Oreochromis niloticus: one gene and its partners. The protein of the gene in region 3 purifies or fractionates together with the protein of the main gene of each other region. This does not show direct contact. Links are inferred from orthologs where the notes say so. Each region holds a gene or a part of one and is shown on either strand. Other genes may lie near its edges. The genes, in order: ap1s1, ap1m2 and ap1b1.

Evidence for each region.
Region 1: the proteins of ap1b1 (region 3) and ap1s1 fractionate together in Homo sapiens (co-fractionation; 6 studies listed by BioGRID and IntAct, with this or other methods). This does not show direct contact. The link is inferred for Oreochromis niloticus from reciprocal best matches to the Homo sapiens genes AP1B1 and AP1S1.
Region 2: the proteins of ap1b1 (region 3) and ap1m2 purify together in Homo sapiens (affinity purification with mass spectrometry; 3 studies listed by BioGRID and IntAct, counting the BioPlex papers as one, with this or other methods). This does not show direct contact. The link is inferred for Oreochromis niloticus from reciprocal best matches to the Homo sapiens genes AP1B1 and AP1M2.

What each region holds. Positions count from the first base shown.
Region 1 is NC_031967.2:1,996,969-2,004,567, reverse strand, and holds the start of ap1s1 (AP-1 complex subunit sigma-1A), read right to left. Parts: upstream 3,009-7,599; 5' UTR 2,807-3,008; coding exon 2,804-2,806; intron 585-2,803; coding exon 406-584; intron 1-405. Other genes in the region: serpine1 (plasminogen activator inhibitor 1), read right to left, coding at 6,285-6,328, 6,419-6,502, 6,839-6,925. UniProt on the Homo sapiens protein: Subunit of clathrin-associated adaptor protein complex 1 that plays a role in protein sorting in the late-Golgi/trans-Golgi network (TGN) and/or endosomes.
Region 2 is NC_031971.2:24,606,299-24,614,336, reverse strand, and holds the start of ap1m2 (AP-1 complex subunit mu-2), read right to left. Parts: upstream 3,107-8,038; 5' UTR 2,915-3,106; coding exon 2,873-2,914; intron 519-2,872; coding exon 362-518; intron 228-361; coding exon 160-227; intron 1-159. UniProt on the Homo sapiens protein: Subunit of clathrin-associated adaptor protein complex 1 that plays a role in protein sorting in the trans-Golgi network (TGN) and endosomes.
Region 3 is NC_031977.2:18,689,643-18,697,170, reverse strand, and holds the start of ap1b1 (AP-1 complex subunit beta-1), read right to left. Parts: upstream 3,097-7,528; 5' UTR 2,996-3,096; coding exon 2,969-2,995; intron 2,402-2,968; exon of another isoform or gene 2,379-2,401; intron 1,191-2,378; coding exon 1,130-1,190; intron 1-1,129. Other genes in the region: gas2l1 (GAS2-like protein 1), read right to left, coding at 7,021-7,528. UniProt on the Homo sapiens protein: Subunit of clathrin-associated adaptor protein complex 1 that plays a role in protein sorting in the late-Golgi/trans-Golgi network (TGN) and/or endosomes.

The DNA of each region.
Region 1 (7,599 bases), on a different chromosome or scaffold from region 3:
AATACGTACAAATATGTAATTTTCCTTCCCACGGTTTCTTTCTTGGAGACAAAGCACTGCCACATCTCATCTTTTTTACATGTTTAATACTGCGTTACTAACATTCCTTTTTAAAATTTCTAAACAATAAAGGCTACTGCCTAAATGTATCACAAGTAAATGAACCTGAGAACCTGGCACTGGGATAAAGGCACTAGTGCATTTCTTTACAGTTTCTTGATAATTAGTGAAAAATCAACAGCAGTTCATAGCATGAAAGAAAATGAAACTGTAAATATGTACACTAGAAGCAACTGTCAGTAACATTAAAATGAGAAAAGATGAAAATAGTGTAAAGAAAGTACCACAAGAAGCAGGTGATGCTGTGATGAGTACAAAATGCAGGACTGCCCATGGCACTTTTACCTTTTATAGACAATCTTGAGGTCGCGCCATTCTAGAAAACTGCACATCTTTGGTTTGCGGGCCAACACTATCTGCATCAGCTCCCTGACCATCTTCTTCTTGTCACGCTCAGCTGTGGCTGTGTACCACTTCTGCAGTCGCAGCTTGCCCTGCCGGCTGAACAGCAGCATGAAGCGCATCTACATGCAAAAAAGACAGTACAGCATTTATGAGAACATGTATTCAATGTGTAAGTATATGTCAATACATAAATGTGACAATTACAATTATTGGTCCAGTACAGGAACTTTTCCTGTTAACTGCATTCTTGTGACCAATTATGAGTCACTTCATCACAGTTTTTTATACTTTGCTCTTTTTGTAAACATTATTATCAAGTCTGACATCATTAATCATTTCTGTGATCAAATGCTCTTTCAATTCCCAAAAGCAAAGAAATACTGGGACGTCATTAAGAGTTAAATATGGTCAAAATTATTTCAGCTCCAATAAAATAATCAGTGCGCCTGCCCAAGTGTTCCAACATCATGACAAAGAGGATAAACAGGAGGGCCCTCCTATTAATAGAGGCAGATGCCATTATATGGTAGGAAGAAGACACCAAAAACAGATAATTTGGTTAGTTATCAACATCTTGCCATGTGGTCTGGATTACTTGCTTAGAAAAAGTTCTGGTTCAAAGTTTAATACACAGTGAAATCTTAGTCAGCCCAAGAGAATCAAATCCTTGGTGACCCATAAACCACAGTGTACACTGAGTTTTTAGAAAATTAAACCATGTCAACAGTGCACATCTTTTAGAGCACACGGCAGCTCGTGTCTGCTCAAATAACAAAGCAGCGCACCATGTTTGAAATCCAGCACAATAGATGCTTGGACTGAGATGTGCTGCATTCAAAAATCAAGTCTATGACATTTTGTGAGACTTTAACTTGTGGTAAACATTTCAGTAGACATATACTGCAAAAAAGAGAAGAGCATGCCAAATTGTTTTCTCAAATGACAATAAAAAAAAAACCTTTCTAATCTCCACTTGGTGTCTGATTGTTATCCCATATCTACTTGGTCCAAGGGAGTGTCACAATGGAACAAGTAGGGAGTTAAGCCAGCATTATAATCTAGCCTTTTTAAACGATATAATGTTAAAATGAACCAGTCAAACCAAACAAAGAAATAAAAACAACTTCAGGGCTTTCTATAATAGGCTATTTAAATTCCAGTTCACTTATCCCATGCCCTCCAAATCCCTCAGTTGATTAATGCAATTTCTCTCTGATACATCCCGAGTACACTACTGAAAAAACACAAACTGCCAGTTCAAAAGTAGTAGGTGAACAAAGTGGAGCACTCAGAAGTTGAAGAGTCAGTTACCTTTTTCAGGTGCTGGGAAGACTGAATTAGGACTAAAAGCAAAATTAATAATGAATTTGGTCACTAAAGACCTGCACTAGGACGACAATCTTTATATATTCTTTTTGAAAGTCTATAATAACATAATGGCCATGGCAAATTTACACTCCTGTTGTATATGGCGAGTGTTTCATCTCATCATCCTATGCTGTTTTCCCACGCCATACTGGCAAAGAAAAGGGAGGAAGTGACATCAAATGTCTATAATATTTTGGTTTGATATTACCTCCAGACATAAACGTCATGTATTGCATTTAAAGCACTTAAAGCAAACACTTCAATCACATAATGAAACCACAGATATAAACTTATGCTGTAATGTGTATTACAGGTATTTTAAAACTTTGCAGACATGGCAATACTAATCCAGCATATCACTTATTATGTTTACTTCCATCTGCCTGCTACCAGTCTACAGTCTATTTGGCAGGCATGACTGTGGGAGGTATGGTTTCATAAAAGATGAATGTTATTGTTTCATCAGTCTAGCCAGTAACAGATGTCACTGTAGCAGGTAATATTAAGATCACCAGTCATCTGGCTCAAGGTTTTGGCCATACAGAGTTCCAAAAACAATTGAGCTGAGGTTAAGCACAAAGTTAGCCACATAATGAAGCCTATTTCATTACTTTATGTAGGCTGGCAGAAAGTAACAAGCACGCCATCACCTTCGTTGCTGACGATAACTAAAACCTAAAGATAAACGAATTACCTGCAACGAGGGCAGTCACACTAGTTTGTCCCGTGTCTGTCATGCTAAAGTTTGACTAACATCACACAGACCACAAGCTGCACGAGAGCTATATACAGCGTAAGAAAGATGAAGTTTCACAGGTTATGCTGGCCTGTTAGCTTGCAAGGCTATGCTGACAGAAGCCAGGTGTAGTTAGCGCAGGTGGTGACTTCCTGGAATCATACACCTTGATAGCATTAGCGTAGCATACCCTCCACATACACTTTTCCCTGCAAGTGAGACGTAATAACTTACCATTCTGTGGGGGTTTTAACGTTTGTGTCTCGTTACAAACGGACTCTACTCCCTCGTTGCCCACTCAGACCTACACCCGAACTAATGCCGAAAGTTCATTCCCGTGTGAGGTGCTCAACTACTGCGCTTGCAAAAAGCGGAAACCCTTCCACGATCGTTGTTTCTGCCAAAGCGCTTCCACATCCGAGGAGCATGCGCACTCCGGCACGTCTAACATGACGTTTATGATTTCGTCTCACTTCCGGAGGGTTCGAATGATTTTACAGTGTATCGACTTTAGTGTTACATCCTCACTGTGTATGACTGCGGATACTGACTCCCTGGTATAGCTTTCAAGTACGGACCTTAAAGCGGATAACCCGTAAGTTAGAGGGGAAATGCCATGTCACCAATTTAGAAGATCTCCATGTTGCCTGGAAAAAAAAATCTGCTCAAAAAAAGAAGAAAAAAAAAAAAAAGAAAATCGGTAGGATTTTTCATCGTCATCATTCATTAAACACCGAAAAATCCCAGGTTTCTCTTCAGCACTGTCAGAGCTCTGCTGAGTCAAGCATTCCTTTAACTTTAACTTCATTAATTTTTTTTAAAAATGAAATTTTATCTATTGAAGAACAAATACTCACAACCATAGACATACTATTATTTTAAGCTACTTTAAATGTCATTTATATTTATTTATATCTGTCTGAAATAACTTTAGTAATGGCTTCCTCCAGGTCATCAACGTGTCCATTAGACCCCATTACCCATTCTTACCAACTGCTCAAACTATTACAATTAGTAAATGCTTTAATCTTGAATATGATCATCTATCTCTATTAATAGGCTATGTGCAATTAAGGTGGCAATAATTAAACTATTACTTAAAAAGCAGTCACTTGATCCAGCTGTCTTAGGTAATTATTGACCAATCTCTCAGTTGTCAAACAGCTGACAGATCATCTGCAGAGGAATGGTCTATTTAAAGAGTTTCAGTCAGGTTTCAGAGCTCATCCCAGCACAGAAACAGCTTTAGTGAAGGTTACAAATGGTCTTCTTATGGCCTCTGACAGTGGACTCATCTCTGTGCTTGTCCTGCTAGACCTCAGTCCATCGTTAATACTGACCACAGTATTTTATTACAGAGATTAGAGCATGCCATAGGTATTAAAGTACGGCACTGTAGGGGTTTGAATGATATCTGTCTGATAGACTCTGTTTTTTCTTTCATGTAAATGGAGAGAGTCCTCTTTACACACTAAGTTTAATTATCCAGTCTTTAAGTGATGACGAGATGAACCAAACTGGGTTCAAACTACTCTGTGTTTAATAAGGCTGTTGTGTTTTTAGTTTTAAAGTTTTTTTTAAAACTTTAATTTAAAGTTTTAATTTTTTCTGTTTTGTTCTATTTATTCTGAACGAGCCCCTAAAATGTCAGTGATCACTTTCAGCCTCTCTCAGTTTTTATTACCACTGTTCATTTTAAAGCTCAGTTTTTAAAACCTTATGATGTAACTACAGCCCAGCCCATGCAGCAGTATACACCCTGACCTTGTATAATGTGTGTGTAGGGACCAACACATACACTGCATTTAACCCATTCACCCAGTGAAGCAGTGGGCAGCCACCAATGCAGCACCCAGGGAGCAGTGTGTAGGGACCGTACCTTGCTCAGGAGTACCTCAGGGTAGCCGTTCAGTGGATTCAAACCCCCAACCTTCCGATCATGGGGCAATCACTCTACCTACTGAGCTATCTCTGCCCTATCCCTGAAGTTTGGTCCGTTTACAGCATCCTGCCATGCGATTGCATTTGTCCCTAACCATCGGGAACCCTCACGTTAACTTTTATCGAGTGGAAAAAAGTTTTATCCTCCAGCTTCACTGTGATAATATGTTTATATCATGCTAACCATAACTGTGTTTTAATTTTTTCAGAAATCTCTCAGTCAGAACATGATATATCATGTTTAGGTGGAAACTAGCGAGCTAACTTCCTGCTAACATCTAACTCCGTTAAACTTCATAAATTCTGTTTTCACAGATGCCTGGTACATTAATATGTATCATTGACAGAAGGTTTGGGTGTGTCTCCCAGCACACTCTCAAAGCATGAAGGAGATTTTAACAGAACCGCTCCTTTGTCACAGTAGGAGCAGAATGAACACTTTTTGGAGCCTTTGAATTCGGCCCTCTGTAGGTTGAAAATCTTCATTTCCGTTGAGATTACATATATATATATATATATATATATATATATATATATATATATATATATATATATATATGTATACATGGAAGTTAATACATGGTGTCACCACTTTTATTCTTCAACACAGTTTGAACTCTCTTAGGCAAGATTTGTGATTTCTTTAATTGCTCTTCAGGAATAATCTCTAAATTTCTCAAAAGACCTGTTGAAGCTCTGCTTTGGCTGTTTTTTGCCTGTTCTGTGTCAAGATAATCCCACACAGATTCAATAATGTTGAAGTGCAGGCTCTCAGTGTGTTCCACTGGGTGTTTATCTATGCTTTTTACTGCATTGGCGGTGTGTTTGGGATCATATGATGCTGAAAAATGAAGACCTCTTGCCTCATTTTCACTCCAGTTCTTGTGTAATGTTTCCCCTTCTTAAGAATGGCTTCCTGACAGGTTTTCTTTGCTTTGGTGAATCAGTGTCGGGACCCCACCCCACCCCTATATCTTGCTTTCAGATACTGTTTATCTACTGTAGATAGATACAGATTTTTTTTTAGACATGCTTTTGTCTTCCACTTGTCTAGTTTCCTCAGTCACTGCACACCATGCTTGGTATTTCAAGTTTTCAGCTAATACCTATTTTGCACCTTAATGGTACAAAAATGCTGTTTCATGCCAAACTTATGTTTGGCAGGTTTAACTAAAGAAATGGGAACATAACATGTCTGTTATGTGTAGACACAATACTGATTTGTTAGATGCCTTTTGATGCTTGAATCAGGGGGAAAGCAGAAAAAGTCAGTGTTAACCTTTCAAAGAACTGTTCAAAGACTGCAACATTGTAAAAAATATAGTAGTTTAATAAATATAAGCATAGTGACAGAAATAAAAATGTAAGAACAAAACAACCAAAAAATATGAAATATAATTTTTTAACAGTAATATAAAATAGTAATATTAAAATATAACTCTTTATAAATACTAATGCATCAGCGTCCCTCCCTTTCAATTAAATCACTATCTTTTGTATCAGAAACAGGTGAAATACCTCATATGTTCACTTTCCTTTATATCGCATTATGTTTTATCAGCCAGAAACATTCAGAGAAATAAATAATCTATAAAGAAATATTTTTTTAAACAAAATCTCTTTCAATACTGTTCTAAATAAACTTTCCAGTGATTTAGTTTGCAGTTTCAAATATGTCATCTGATTTAAGTAGTATATGTCAGATATGTCATCCATTCGATGGCCATTATGTGGAATTTTAGTAGTCTCACGCAGAGAGTGGGCTCAGAGTGGGTTACTGTTGAGGCTGGTTGAAGTGACCCATGAAAAGAACAGCACCTAAACATAAAAGGGAGAACATTAGAGAGCCACCCTACCTGGATGATCAGCAGTCTGGTATTGTAAAATTGTATTCTAGTGAAAGGTTACCTGTGAGTTTGTGCTGGATAAGGAAAAGGAAAGGTCGGTCTAGAACGATCTCCTCTACTGCCATACGAGAAAACATGACAGCAGCTAAGAACAATGAAACAGAAAGGGGGGGAAAGGTCAGTGTTGGGTTTATGTGGGGACCCCATTTGGACCCCTTACATTATCTTCAAATAGTTCTCCTGATACATTTTTTTGTTGAAAAGTATTTGTTACAATTTGATTAATCACAAAATATGATTAAAATATTTTCTCTGCATCTATAAATCAATAAGACCTCTGCTTATGTTGCCTATTTTCAATATCCCCTTTTAGCTTACATCATATTATGTTTAATACTTAGACAAAATTTAAAAAAAAAAAAAATCAATTGTATCGCCTGTGCCACAAATAAATATATATAGAACTGAAAAATGAGGGTACCTGTTGATGCTGCTCCTTTGGTTCCCTCTTCATTCACCTCAATTTTCAGTTTTTGCAGGACCTTTGACACACACAGCCTTTGATCCACTAGAGGGAAAAACACAAAAAAACAAATGAATAAATTAAGAATAAAAAATTAGATAAAAATATGTTTGTTTGTTTTCATTATGTAGTTTTTTTTAAAACCTTCATTTTTTTTATCTGCTTATTTATAATCCGTCATTAAGGCTTAAAATGCTTCAATTTGAAATATGGACCGTCTTTATTGACAGGTGACCACAGGCTTTTAAGGTGGTTTTAATTAAACCATTACTTTAAAAGGATTTTATTTCTTCATATGTATATATATATATATATATATATATATATATATATATGTATATATATGTATATATATATATATATATATATATATATATATATATATATGTATATATATATATGAACCAGTCTTTCAGAGATGATCACTCAGTTTTTTTTTTATAACTGCTCTTTCAAGATATATGTATATATATCTTGAAAGAGCAGTTATAAAAAAATACTGAGTGATCATCTCTGAAAGACTGGTTTATTTAAAAAGCTTTAGTCAGGATTAAGAGTGCATCATAGCACAAAAACAGCTTTAGTGACGGTCATGAGCTATCTTCTCACAGACTCTGACAGTGGACCTCATTAAAACACCACTGGTGTTAAACAGTTCAGTTGTTTGAATTGTATCTGTAACACACTCCAATTTGTTCATGTAACAACACAGTACACTC
Region 2 (8,038 bases), on a different chromosome or scaffold from region 3:
ACAGGATTTGAGTAACTGCCAGAATTTACTCTGGATTACAGCCATCTTTGACTGTCATGTTTCACTGATGTCCCACAACAACAAAACCGTTTCTTTGGAAACAGGATGCACAGGCAACAGGAAATATTTATATTATTCACCACACTAGGCATCGCTCACCTCGACTAGTTTGTAAAGAAATGCATACACCAGGGAAGCGTTGGAGTTCTTGTTTGTTGTAGCCACAACTGTATAGAGATCAGGTCAAGGAATGTTCTGAAGTTAAAAACACTGCTGTAAAAATCAAGGACTCATCTTTTCATATGATTGCTAATGGTCATTGCCTGCAAAGGATGTCATTAAACACTCAGGACAGGGATACGGTAGAGGTTGCTGTGTTTGATCCACATGAAGTGAACGTTGCCGTGTGACATTACGGGACAGAGAAGACCTTCCTCTTCATGCTGCATGAGCAAATGCATGAAGTGGTCAATCTCTGACATGTCCACATCGCCTTTGTAGTTCCGACAAATCAGCACCTGAAGAAGGAAGAATACCAGCACGTGGTTACGAGACAACTGTTAATATAGAAATTACTACTTATAGAATGACTTCTAGTGTCATTTTGTTCAATGATGGGAAGGCAATGGATATTACAATAGCAGTTTCACACAGACCCTCAACTGGAAAAGCAATTAGGAGAATGATTGGATATAATCACAATAATAACAACTGATCTTGTGATTCTCAGTAGAAAGAACTACGCTCACTGATTTTAAACAACACTGATGAGGAAAAATATTAAAATTGTCTTTATTTTTAAGAAATACTCTTCTCAAATTATCATTTTGTCCCTAACAGTGGGACAAAATGATAAAAATTTGTCACAGAGATTAAGACAAGACTCAGACATCAACCTTTTTTTAAGGTTCTGGGTCTTTTATTCATAATATTTCTTATACAAACGTGTTATCTGTTAAAACACTAAAATATCCTTAAAAAAAACCCAAGCCTTTATCTACACAAATTAATTTTCTTTAATTAAACGTGGCTTCATTTACACATTTAAACCTATAAATTCTGATGTGTGAATAAAAGTAAACAAGAAATTGGAACATGGCCTTACTCAGCGTTCACATTCCTGTTATGTACATTTAATACACGTTAAAATACACAAACCACCAAGTTGGGCAGGATTAGAAATGTGCACATCAGAGGGACAGGACAAGCTGAGCACTTTGGAAGCAAAGTCAGAGAGGTGAGGCTGAGATGGTTTGGACATGTGCAAAGAGGAGGGCAAAGGATGTTGAATATGCAGCTGTCAGACAGAAAGAAGACCATAGAGGAGGTTCATGGATGTAGCAAAAGGAGACATGGTGAGGGTTGGTGTGACAGATGAGGATGCTACTGGATAGGGTGAGATAAAGGCAGATGATCCACTGTGGCAGACTCCAAAGGAAGCAGCCGGAAAAATGTTTCTTAATGGAAGTAATCACCTGGGGAAAAGCATATTATCGAAAATTTTGAACCCTGACAGCTTAACTGTCTTCCCTTAACTGATCAGACAGGAAAAGAAATTTTAATGATCAGATTATGAGATAAATAAAATCAAACTGGCAAACGGCAATTTCAAAAGACAAAACCACTAAATATAAGAAAATACCAGTCATAAGTAAAATAATAGCAGAAAATTAAAGCTTTTAATCACCAATATGACAAAACTTTACCACAGATGCGGAGACAATAATTACAATGATTAGTTACAATGTGACTAATATTATTATTATTATGAGTTCTAGCTATAAAGTAGACTAAATTTCTATGCTGTTTTCACATCCCTGTAGAAGTGGAAGAGAAAACCTTGTGCACATGTGTCCACCAGCATGCAGCCGGTTTCAGTTGCTCCTGCTTTTTCTCTTTACTCTAACTTTTTTTCTTACTTATTTCTTTGTCCTTTAATACTCTCTAAGGAAATTATGTAAAGTATTCTGATTCTAATTCTGAAGTGGTTGCTAATCTACTCTGAATGGAAATAATCATCCTTTTTTTTGCCCCTTCATTTTAAAAGTATTAAAAAGTGGAAAGCTCAAAGAGAATAGTCTTTTTGATAGCTCAGTATAAAGTTAGGATCCATAAATATTTTTCTTTTAGTTGTTGATGGGACTGATTGTGTCATGACATGTATAACAACATTCTAATTCACCCAGGTCATGCATGAGAAGGACATATTATTATTTGGTGATGGAACCTTAGGTGTAAGGGAATAAAAGTGTAAATATAAGTTTTTGATGATGATTTGTTTAACCAATCAGAATCCAGACCCCTCCAAAAACAGATCTATATTCGGTACACCCCCTCTCCATCTCAGTGTTGACTGGCCTTGGAAACGACACATGCAAAACCAACCAACCTTGAAACTTGCTGGTAAAACAAAATGTATGGATTGAGCTTGGGTTCGAGTAGATAAAATGTAACAGATCACACACACAACATGAAACCACGAGAAACACTAACTCGAGGCTAAAGTTACATGTTCTGTCTGTCATGCCAGAGTCATGCAGGCTCCTGTGTAAACATAAACGTGACGGTGACACAAACTATCTACCTGAAGGCTACATGTGCTGCCACACGCGTTCGCTTCCATTGTTTAAAGCTTAATTTACATTGCCATGTATCCGGAAGTAGAAAACTAAAAGTTAAATAAAATAAGAAATACAAGAAAGAGTGTGTCGCAAGATCTGTTATTAATTTTTAACAACGCGTTTAATGTTTAACAGTTAAAAGAGCACCAAAAAATTCAACCCAGTAACCAAAACCGATTACTTATTCCTGCCACGCGCACAGGAATAAGTAATTATCAGTTGTCTAAAATTAGCTCGAGCTTTGCTCTTACCTTCCCCTTCAGATCCAGCACAAAGATAGCGGAGGCGGACATCGTGTCTGAACCCGGGGGACCAACAGCGTGAGATTTCACGAAGCGCCGAAACTGAGTTTAAAGCCTAACTCAAGACTTATTGCAGCAGCTTTGTCCTGAAAATGTCAGGAACCGTTCCGGTCGGGCTGATCGCGGACTCCACGGTGTCTTTTTCCTGAAGGTCCAGTGACGTCACTGCACGCAGGTGAAACATTAACTAGCTCACCTGAGTAAATGAAGTGCAGGAAGGGTGTGCTCCCCGCTTTAGCCGCCAGAGTGCGCCACAAACCGACAAATCATAGCAGGGACCGCGACAAGTGTGTGACCTCGTGACCTTTGTTGATCGAGAGGTTTTTCAGTGTTGGTCTTCTTCTTCCAAATAAGAGTCCATCCTACCAGCCCCTCCAAATACTGCTTCATATTACCAGTTAAAAAGTAATGCCATAAACTTATATCGTTTATAACTGGAATTGGGTTTTCAGAAGCAGTAAAAGCAGCACTTCTTAAGCACACCTGATTATTCACCTGTGAAGATTGTGGGTAGGTATGATGTTAGCTTAAATCTTAAGTCGCAAGTAACATTTTCTTATTTTAAGCATCTGTAATATATTTTCTTGTTGTTGTGTGACTGTTGTATATGTTAAAGGAAATACTTGTTATTTTATTTTATTGATGTAATTGTGATTTTTAAGTTATTGGTTGATTGTCTGTAGATCGATGGTTGGATGTTTTGTGTTGTTTTTATCTGTGGACCCTAGGAAGCATAGTTATCGCTGCGGTAACAACTCAGGGGAATCTGAATAAAGATTAAAGAAAGAATAAAGACTGAACTCATTATACTTCTTCTTCTTCTTCTTCTAGGGGCAATCGTGGCTCAAGAGTTGGCAGTTCGTCTTGTAATCGGAAGGTTGCCGGTTCGATGTGTCTCGGTCGTTGTGTCCTTGGGCAAGACACTTCACCCACTGCCTACTGGTGGTGGTCAGAGGGCCCGGTGGCGCCAGTGTCCGGCAGCCTCGCCTCTGTCAGTGCACCCCAGGGTGGCTGTGGCTGCAATGTAGCTTGCCGTCACCGATGTGTGAATGGGTGGATGACTGGATGTGTAAAGCACTTTGGGGTCCTTAGGGACTAGTAAAGCGCTATACAAATACAGGCCATTTACCATTTCTTCTCGTAATGATAATATTAATAAAAGTACTTTGAAAGTTGAAAAATTCAAACAGAAGACCAAAAATAAAATTAAAAAGAAGTATACAGATCAATTATTAGACACAAAATTCAAAAGTCATGCAAAACATCTATCCATGTCTCTAAATATTACATGTAAATACAAATTTTTACAAATTTTACTTAGGTGGTTATTAGCTTATTGGTGGTGCAGTGCTGCTTGGCGCTGTCACCTGTTTCGACCCTGCTTGGACTTTCTGCCTAGAGTTTGTTTGTCCTACCAATGTTGAAATCTTTTCTGGATTCCTCCATAAATCCATTTTTCACCCACTATCAGATGAAATATTCTTCAGCAAACCTTGGCTCTACTTTTAGTGTAGTACATGCACTTATACTTGGAATCACAGGTATTGCACACATTTATGAGCCCTATTAAGAACCCCATGAAGACAGAAATCCAATGTAAACATATCTGAGACACGTGGTGACCTCGGTTTACGCTTGTTGCTTTTTAAAAGATTATTCTTCTTTGATTTGTTTGCAGTAATTCTTTCATTGTTTAACCTTGATATTTCTGTATTCACTATTGACATTTATAATATGACATTTCTTCAACTTGTTTCTTCTCTTAAATGACACATTGGGTGTTATTAATCCCCCGAAGATTAAATCCTGTTCTACCTTGATCTGCGAGTGTGGCATGCTGTCTTTAGCTTCAGGGCTATACAAACATTTTTCTGCTCACGTGCTTCGGGAGCTCGGCCTCTCCGTGTGGTATTATGCCTCAGATCTCAGCCTCCACTTATCATCTGTGTGTAAAGAGGCTTGCCTTAGAATAACATGCGCGTGTGAACATTTGCATCAAGACACCAGATGGAGATCAGCCGTTTCCAGTATCCCACTCCTTTTGACAATATAGGGTTGGTTCCCCTTATCTCGTCACTATTTTTTCTAATGATAAATTACTTTATCTTAGCTATAAAAAAAAGGCACACCTTAGGCATGTTGCATTCACACAGGATATAGGCTACAGTAGAACTGACTCAGAATAGGCTGGTGCGCCACGATATTAGTCATTTTATATCATGCATTTTAATTAAAATCGTGCACCGCTACAGTTTCTTAGCATTGTGCAGCTTTTTTAAATTCGAGGTCTAGAAATGTTTGTAGTTTTAGATACCAGCGTCTTTTAAAATTGTATTTTCCTTCAACATTTAGCAGTGTGCAAAATAGAGTACGTGTTTGGCTCTCCGTCATTAGTTGATGTTATCTGAACTATACAGAAATGACAATGGCAGAACAGAAACGGCTGCAAGCATAGGGAAGCATTAGTCAGACGAGAAGAAAAATAATTTCCTGCTGCTTACACACTTAACTGCCAGCAAAACAACAGTTTGCCCACTCCTAATTGTATCAAAATACTTCAGATGTTTTAATCTGCATCCACTGGAAATTGTATCCATGTCAGCTTAAGAAAGCGAGCATGACTGAGGATTGGTTTTGACCTGAAATGTTCAGCAGAATCTCAAATTCAGTGGAGCATTAACTATTATTTGCTATGTTGTAGCCAAAGTGGATATTAATCTTAGATCCCAGCTTTTTATCTGAGTACAAAATTAAAAAACAAATAAATAAATAATTAAAACTTAAAAATGGTTTTATTTTATTTGGATAGAATATATATATTTTCTTCTCTTTTCCCATACCTTTTCTGCATTTTGTTGGCAAAACAATCACTCACAATGCCCTAACGTTATTAATATTATTTGCCGTGCAGAGTTTTCCACAGTGCCATCAGCAGAAAATGATCATCGTCAGTTCTAACAGTTGGTACATTTTGGGGGGGGGGCAACCTTGAAAGATGAAGGATCTAAAGTGTCTTACTATGACACTGGAAATATATCTGTTGCCTTTATATGAAGTCACAATTATTTTAAATACATTCATTTATATATAAAATAGAAAAGGTTTGAATGATCTTCAGTACTCTGATCATATCTGTCTTAATGTGACTTAAAATCAGGAGCAAATGTAAGAAATTTCAGCAAAATACCACTCAAATTAAACCACTTAATCATTGTGATTAATATTAATGAACTATTTTTTTAACTGCTATTTTACATGATGCTCCCATGATATCTCCTGATACAGTAGGGTGGTATTTTGTACTATGCAAAATAGCCTTAAAACTCACCTGAACATGGTAAATATACAGCACAGCAATGTGCATTCTTACTGATGAAACTCACTGTTTGACTATAATTCACCATATTTAGGCATTAGCTAAGCATAAGAGTTAATTTTTTACTTATAATGACTCGAGATTTGTATCCTTATCTCTCCACAGGTGCTAGAAACATTAGTGAGCTTGGATGTGTGAGATAAAGTGTAATACAATATCATGATTCTATGGGAAACACCAAAACTTTGACTGTCAGCTCTATGCGAAAGCAAACGGAGGCTGCTGGGATCAGGGCGGTTGAACTCAGCATGGTGGCTCAGGGTGAAACTAATATCAGTGAAAATAAAGGCTGTGAGTGCTAGCTTTGGACCGGATGTCGACTGTCCAGCAGAGATGTACCTGACTTTACACTTTTCTCCTCATTCAATGGAGCCCCCTCATTTTACAGTGTGTTAAAACAAACAGCTTTTCATTTTACAGCACACGTATCAGCCGAGAGATGGGCAACCCGTTTGGCCTCTGCGTTGTCAAACAAAAGCAAAACAGGTTATTGCTGTTACCTTGCCATCGGGACATTTGGTACTCTGTTTGGTAACCTGACAGGGGAATATCTGTTCTCCATCTGTCACCCATCTCCTCCCACTGCCGGTTTTCGTAAACACTCCCCCTTTGCTTACGAATCAGTGGTGTGAGATTGAGCTCCACCTTTTTTTTTCCCACTAGGCCAATCGGAGGACAACAAACATATGTAAATTGTGAGGCGATTAGAAGATGCAGATGACAGCCAGCACAGCAGGGAACAGGTGTCACCAGTCACCTGAGCCCTAAGGGTATCTATTGTCTCGTGGGTGTACAAACAATGGTTCTCAAGCAAACTATCCGACTGTCAACAATGATGCTGGTGACGATGGAAAAATAAGGTTTAGCTTTCTGGATATGCTGTTTTACTGTACGTGCAACCAGGCCAAATCGTTTGACTCAAAACTGCAACCACAAGCTGACAGAAAAGCAATTGTGCAAATATAGAGTCGACATTTGGCCTAGAGCAGATGCAAGACTGTTGGGTGTGGACATTTTCAGGTGGATTGTGGATCCCAGTTCTTGACAGACAACATACCACAGCTTTCCAGTGAGGCAACGTGACGATGATGCAGCATATACCATTGTACGAGCAGGGCCCAAACGTGACGTCAAATCACGCTTTAGCTCCTTAGCTTTTTTTATGACATGCCAAGTCATAAACACAATCCTAAAATAAGTCCAATAATTATTTATGTTATTTATGTTTTACGGCTTGCTTCTTGTCCTTGCAAGGAGACATGTCCCTCTAATATGCAAACAGATAGATAGTAATGTAGGTAACCATCACATGAGTAATACTTGTGCCGCATGCACAGTTCATAAAATTAAACCTTTATGACTTAGTTTTATTCATGTTATTACTTCTCTGTTAAAATCAGCTGAGTCTTATGAGGAAAACTCACTTAACTTCCTTCTGTCCTATCATGATGTTACCTTTTAGCTTTTATAGAAAGACCTTTTTTGTTTATTGCACAGAATACAGAAGTATACCACATATGGGTTAGGATGACTGTTACTCTCTTTCACTCAGCATACCTTAGAGTAAAGCTTTCAGAGCACAATGATACCGTTTTCCCAAAAAATTGTTTATTTTTATTGTTATTTGTTTGTTTGTTTGATTCATTACTCTCATAAACTTTGCCTTTGTATTAAGTTTTAATATGTATTTGGGAATTATACTCACCAGCCACTTTTTTCAACTGCTGTTGTCATAATGG
Region 3 (7,528 bases):
TTTCATCCTGCACATCTGTGCTGCATTGAGCTTATTTCAGACATGTGCAGAGATGAGGAAACGCAGGACTTTGTGTAAACACAAAGCCAGTAAAGAACACAGTGTTATTAAAGCAGAGTGTATACAGTGTGTGTCAAATATAACCACAAAAGGAGTGTGTTTGCCCATTTGTGTTGAATTGTACACAGAATATTTTTATTTTTTTAATTTGAGAATCTTTGAGAATCACGTTTAATTTAGTTTTTATTGCAGTCTAACTCAGCTGCCTAATTAGGGTACAAACTACACACTGCAAGCAAACTGCAAATTATAAGCTTAAATTTGAATCTGCAGACTTAAGTATTTCCCAGGCAAATTAATACTCAAAGTCTCTTTTGCATGTGAGCTCCACACTGCACAACACAGCATTAGGCAGATCCACAGGGGGGAACATTTTGAAGGAAACTTGTTCTTATGTCTCAGGTAATCCTTAAAAACCAAGGAGTCTGGTACACTATCATTTACAAGCATCTGTTTATATTTCTTAAGCCCTGTGTGTGAGAACAAAGAGGGCTTCTAGGCTTTCCCAGGGCAACATTGTGTGAGGGGAGCTGCTGAAATACAAGGAGGCCTAGCAGTTATCTCACTGAGAGCTAATTCTCACTACGTCTTATCTGATATACAAAAGCCAAAGCTCTTGTTCTTGGGAACAACTTTGATACAAAGCTGTCAGATGACATCTTTAGGTACATTTTTTTTGTTTTGTTTGTTTTTTCCTTACTTACATCTAACTTATAGTTCGGTAACATTGCTAGTTCTACCAGAATATGCATGCTCTTGAAACAAGTAAATGTGCTTGGCTTCATAGAGTTGAAGTTAGTAAATACATGCCAAATCATTTTACTGGGAATCTACAAAACTTTAGTTTTATCAGAGAGAAAAAAAAAAACATCTATTAATTACTTTAACAACCTGGGAAAAGGTTAGGTCCCCTTTGGTAAAAATAATAATTTGGCACAGCCCAGCTCACAATGACAATAAATCCCAAAGCACTCGCATAAATATAATGTGTAGGTACCAACAACAATAATTATAATCTCACACTAAGGAGTTTACCATGTTAAATCTTCTAAAGAACAAAGTTTCAAACCTTTCTTAGTAGTGGTGAAGTACTTGGAGTCCGTCATCTTGGATCCAAATTGTCGATTCTCCTGCAAACGAATGACAGGATGAGAAAGATGATAGCGAAATCTTTTCCTGACTGGAAACTTGGAGCATCACGAGAACAACAGGAAATACTAGAAATGCAAGCACAGGGAAATAAAAGGAATTCCTGTCTTCTCCTGAACAAATGGTAGGGATCTATCGGAAATCAAAACAATGGATTCTGTTAAGAAATCAGACACTAATATCTCCTCTTTAAAAAAAAATTATAATAATAATCTTGGTCAGCACGTATGGGGCCAACAATAACTCTTGTCAGCCAACATTCAATGTTTTCTTTTGGGTATCATTAGCTATACTTCCTCATCCCGTTGCCCTCAAGGCACCATTTCATTTTATTTTTATTTTTTTTAAGTTTAAGGTACAAAGATGCCTGCTTGACAGATTTCAGAGAAAACTGTAAAATATTAAAATACTATTGGAAAAATAAAACCTGTGTTTTTACATGAAATTTTGACATTTTTGGCTCATGGACAGCTGGTCGTTTTTAGGAGGTCTCCACAACAGATCATCTGCCTCCATCTCACCCAATCCCTAGTATCCTCCTGTCACACACTCCATCCATAAACCTTGTCTATAGTCTCCGTCTGTTCATCCTGCCTGGAAGCTTCATATTCAACATCCTTTTCCCAATGCATCCACATCACCTCAGCCTTCTAACTTTTGACTCCAAGCTGCTCGACCTGAGCTGTCCCTCTGATGTACTCTTTACTAATCTTATCCATCCTGGTCAATCTAAATGAAAAGCCACGTTTAATTCTGCCACCTTTAGCTTGGCCTCCTGCCTGTTTGTCAGTCCCACCATACACTCTTCCTGTAGTACTTCTGTCACTAATCAGCCCTGACATCTCAACTACACCCATTCCACCCTGCCTGCACCATCCTCTTCACCTTTCTTAAGCACTGGCCAATGTTTAGGTTGGCGTCAGGTATTTAAACTCAACCACCTACACCTAGTAGCTTCACTGGACAGCAGTGTATATGTTTAACATATATATGGCTTGTTCATACCAACATTATGTGGAATTTGTCTCTTTAAAGTCTTTCTGATATAGAAAAAAGTTAGTATTTCCTTGACTATGCACTGAATATCTATTATTACTGTGTTACAAATATGTAAAAATACTTCTGCAGTGAATAAACAAACCCATAAAGATTTCATTAATCGAACTTACATTCAGTTCAGTCAAATGGTAGAACACAGAAAGACAGAGAGAAATTTCCTTCACAATATTCCGCAAAATAACCCTTTAGTCTCTTTAAAATACGTCTACATTTATGAATGAATTCTGTTAGACTGACATGCTAACTTGTTATTAATGGTACTGAAATACACATTAACTAGAGCACCGGGTTTCAGGTACCAGTCGACATCCGACAAGTCGCTAACTAGCCACAAGTTAACCAAAACCGAACCCAACTGTCGACGTAGTTAGCAATACGTTAGCCGATTACGATCCGTTTGTACGATAAAGCACACTGCTACCGAGCTAAATTCACACCGAAACTCTCGTGTACTCTTACGTAGCTTCTGATCTTACAACATAAGTATTTAACAAAAGCTGTCGTTAACTTATACCGCTAGCTAAAACACAAAGTTGAGAAAATGTTCTCTAGCTGGCTAGCATTAGGCTAGAGCAGCATTAGCATAGCTGGCTCGAGTGTGTACGAAAGGAGGCACACTTAGTTGAGTAGTTAACCCAAAATGAGCTAAATTGCAGCCGATAGTTGCGCATTTAACAGTGCATTTCAATCCACTACTCACGCATAACTGATTTGCCCACTCCTGCATGTTTGCAGCAGTTAGAGTAGATGAATGAAGCTAATGCTAAAGGATAGCAGCCTGGTGCAGTGTGCCTGTCAGTGTCAGCTAGCGCCTGACCACTTCTCTGGCTAGCAAAGCTGAGACATGACCTTCTAAGTAGGGACTTAAGGAAGCCTTTGCCGGGATAGTTAAGCTCTTAATCTGTCGGTGTAATTAAGACCTTACTCAACGAATTAGCGTACCTTCTGGCGTTAAAATTAAACTCGCCATACAGTGAATTCAGCAAGCACAAATATCTTACCGTGACAAGCGTAGCAGTTACTGTGATGGCCTTCGTCCCCTCCTACTTGATTTACTTCCGTCTTTTAACAAAATAACAACAGGCAGGCAACGTCAGCTCTCATTCATACAGGGCTGGTCATAATGAGACAAAGAAATTCAGGAACTCTGTCAACGCTGTGCGCTTTTCTTTTCAGCTCCAATCCGGCTACTTAAATCTACATACAGAGTAGGTAACTAAATATTCACTTTCACTAAATAAATAATTCAGACAGTTATCGTAAGAGCAAAGGATGTGTAAATAAAGTGAGACCCAGTTTTGAGTTTATTAGGAAGCTGATAAAACACTACCTAAATACAATAAATAAAATCTATGGCCTAAACCCTTCAACTGATAATATTATGCCAGTGTTTTGTGTATCCGTTTATACTGTATTGAAATAGCAAGTGTTTATGTGCATAAATGAGGCGTTAAATGAGGATTACCAAATACTAATTTCTACAAAAAGATAGCACTTTGGTCCACTGTTGCATGACAGCAAAAAGGTCCTGCTGTCCAGTCATCTCTGAATGGTCTGCATTCTCTCCCTGGGTACTATAGTCTAAAGACTTGTCAAGTTAACTGGTGATTTTAAATTCTTGGTGTGAATGGTTATCTGTGCCTCTTGCCCTATGACAGCTGGGATGGGCTCTAGCTCCTAGGGCTCTAATTTCCAGACTGACTAAACACTGGAAGGTTTGCTATAACAAAAGTTTAATACAAAAACGTCACAAGTTTACAATATTTTTGAATCTATAATTATATAAGACTATGTAGGGATTAGCTGAATTATTTTATCCAAATAAATAGTAATAAAAATTGAACCTTCCAAGCACATTGTGAGGAGAAACAACTGCAGCATTTTAACTCCATTTTGAACTTCACAAAGCAAAATCTGCAGGACGCATTGCCATATTTAGTCGTGTCTTACTTATGCAACAAATTATTTATTATGTACAAAAATATAGTGAGTAACACTGTGCATGAAGAATAACAGAAGCACTTCTTTGCTTTTCTCTAACATGCGCTGTAGCACAGAAAATCCAGTCACTGCTGTGCCAAAAGCTACACATGAAAAAATGACCAGAGCATCATCGTAAGCTTCAGAGCAAAAGATTTATTACAAGAACAACTTGACAGCATTTTCAAATTCAGAAAAAAAAAGTGAAACATTGCAGTATTGCTATTTCATACACAAAAATTCCACAATGTCAAGCAATCTGTACATTTAACCAAAGTTTTAGTGAAAATGGCATCTGATCACAAACATTCGGATTTCGCTGATTGGGGATACGGAGGAATGAGCGTTTCATAAAATCCCGTGTAGGCAGAAAGAGCGGATTAGGACAATCAATCGTTTTAAGATTGTAGAAGTCATGGCTCAGTTAGCCTGTACATTTAAAACACCAAATACGTGTTCGAACAAGCCAAAACAAATGTAAAATGAAAAGAATTAAGAGTACATGTTATAATGTGTTTATACACGCTAAACTGCCCACTGGCTACATATTGCAATCAATGTCGCTTTAACAATACTGATACATCATGAATCATTTGTAGCAGTGAGGAGTCAGCGCATGATAAAATTACTGTATCTTTAAGAGATGGGACACATAAATAAGTTCACTTTGCCTTCAAATCACTCTCATTTTTAACTGACAACATTTCCACTGATTCTGTCTGTCGTCTCGAACTTGGGAAACAGATGTCACTTGAGCCCATGAAAGATGATTTCATAAATAAATAAATTAGACCAGCACTACTTCCCTCTTTACTTCAAATCTGTACATATTCCCATACAGTATGTACACAAAGATATACACACTCTCCTTTCCCAGGCCATGCTCTGTTGGTGTCCAGCAAAAACAATTTTATCAACATTTTCTTTTCCTTGCCTCCACATTGTGTGGGAAACAATCATTAAATATTAATATCAGTTTTTCCTTCGCTCAAATCCAGAAGCTCTTGAGATTCTATGGTTTCTGGAGCCCACTAAACAGTATACCGCTTTCCAACTTTACACCCTTCAACACATGCTAAATACCAAAAAGCTAGTAATGTAGGCTCTGTAGCTGGAGTCTGGCTTGTCATATTGATGACAATTGTGTGAGAGCTTCACAAAGTAGGCTCAGTATCCAGTTACAGCATCCATTATTCATGCACCCCTGCACACATGCAGACACTCGAGTTAAAGCCAGTCAGTCTTCATCTATCAAACCTTACCATGTCATACCAGACCATTATTGGCTCTAATCAGCACCAGGACATTTCAGTATCATATCAAAACAACATTTTCTACCACTGAATAAAACATTTCTCTCTTTTTTTGCCACTAGATGTCACCATAAATTGCGCCACATTATTGAAATCCATCTGTTAAATAGGCGATAAACAACCGAGGGAATTCAGAGGAAATACATCATATATATGGTTTTCATTATTTGCACATCCACCTCGGGTATAACTTATAAATGAAACTGGCTGGTAATGCTTTTTTTTTTCTCCTTCACATTCACACCCAAACTTTCTAATTATTATAAACAGTTAAAGATGGCAATGTAGTGTTACCTAACAGATTTTAGTGATGTTTAGCTAAAAACATTTAAAAAAAAAATGTAACCTGTGAAAAATTGTTTAAGGCAAAGGGAATTTTCAAGGCATTTTCAACACCAGTATTGCATAGCTAAGAACTGAATACAGTGAATATGTACATTAGACTGTATATTCCAAGCCTTGTCTTTACAAAATACCCACTCTCAGCATGTATTTACACATTCATTCTCCTTAGCATTTAATTCCAGAGTACAGTTTGGTCAGAGGAGGAACTCAATATTTAAAATGTCAGCGACAACTATATAAAGTAATATAACCTTCCCCCATGCTCCTCATATTTTTGTTGTACACTCAATGCATTTAAATTAAACTTTTTAAAATTTTACTGCATTAAACAAAATCTTAAAAACCGGTAAGACATTAAGCATTCAAACAAAAAGCATCTATCTTGTCTAGAACAGCTTATTATTATGAAAAGCTGACACTGTTAAATAATAACATGAAACAACTGTACAGAAACTGGTAGTGTGCATAATGTTCATAGAGCCAGAGATGGGTGTACCTTAGTCTATGTTACTGATTACTGTAATGTGAGTATAGTGAGTCATATATGAATACCACTAATGTGGACAGACTGAAAACATCACAGTCATCATGCCAGTATTTTCACTATAAGGCAAGCAGAAGTGCTATGGCAAACCACAAGAGGGAGCCAGTCTGCATGACTCAAGGACTAGTGTTTACATCGTTTCTAGACTTGCAGCTTTAAAGCCCTGGCACTTTACCATGCCCCCTTAGTGAGGCACATGGCAGCACATATGCTCTCTCTTTCTATTTCTGTGTATCAACTGTGAGAATTTCACTAGTGACTTATAAAAAAAATAAAAGATTGGCAAAAGCATCCCCATGCACACATTAAAATTAAAAATTACAGTAACATAAAGACCATTCCTTTGGTAATAAATAATTTGGCTTGAGTGCAAAAAAAGCAATGTGAAGCCCTGCAGTTATTCAGGGGAGAACCTAAATGGAGAAAAAAAGGAGCGTTTGACATGCAGTAAAAACTGTCTGTAGCCCGTTTTTATCTTGTTGGGTTTTTTGTTTTCTCTTTTTTAAACACAGTAGTTAAAGTTCATGACAACAACCCCCTCCCGTGTACTACCCACAGTTTCGTTTTGTGCTACATCCAAGCTTCAGTGTCCACGCTGCCTGACTGTGTAGGGTAGGCGCAGTCTTTGTTGCCCATGGCTGAGGAACGAGGATGAGGATGGATCATATCAGCGAAGGCCTGGTGCAGGCCCTTGCATGTGGCTTGGCGACTGGTAGGATGGGAGCTCTGAGGAGACAGCGGTGGGGTGTGGCAGGGGGACAGAGTGTTGTTCGCCTGCAGGTCTCTGTAGCTGACGGGGGTGGGTATGCGCGAGGGGCCGTTTTCGGGCCTGTTGTCAGTGCGAGGCCTGAACCGGCCCCCCAGTTTGTGCTTAGGGATTGGGTCAAGCCTGTTTGCTCTCTTTGGCCCTTTCTTAGTCTCCAGCATTTCTCCATCAGCGTCCCCGTTAGTCAAGGGCAAATTTGGTGGAGGGGACTCTGAGCGGGATTCGCTCAAGCTGAAGCACATGGAAGAGTTTTCACTTGAGGAATCCTGGAAGGAGCAGTCCTCAGAGAGGGGAAGGGGCAGAGATGATGGA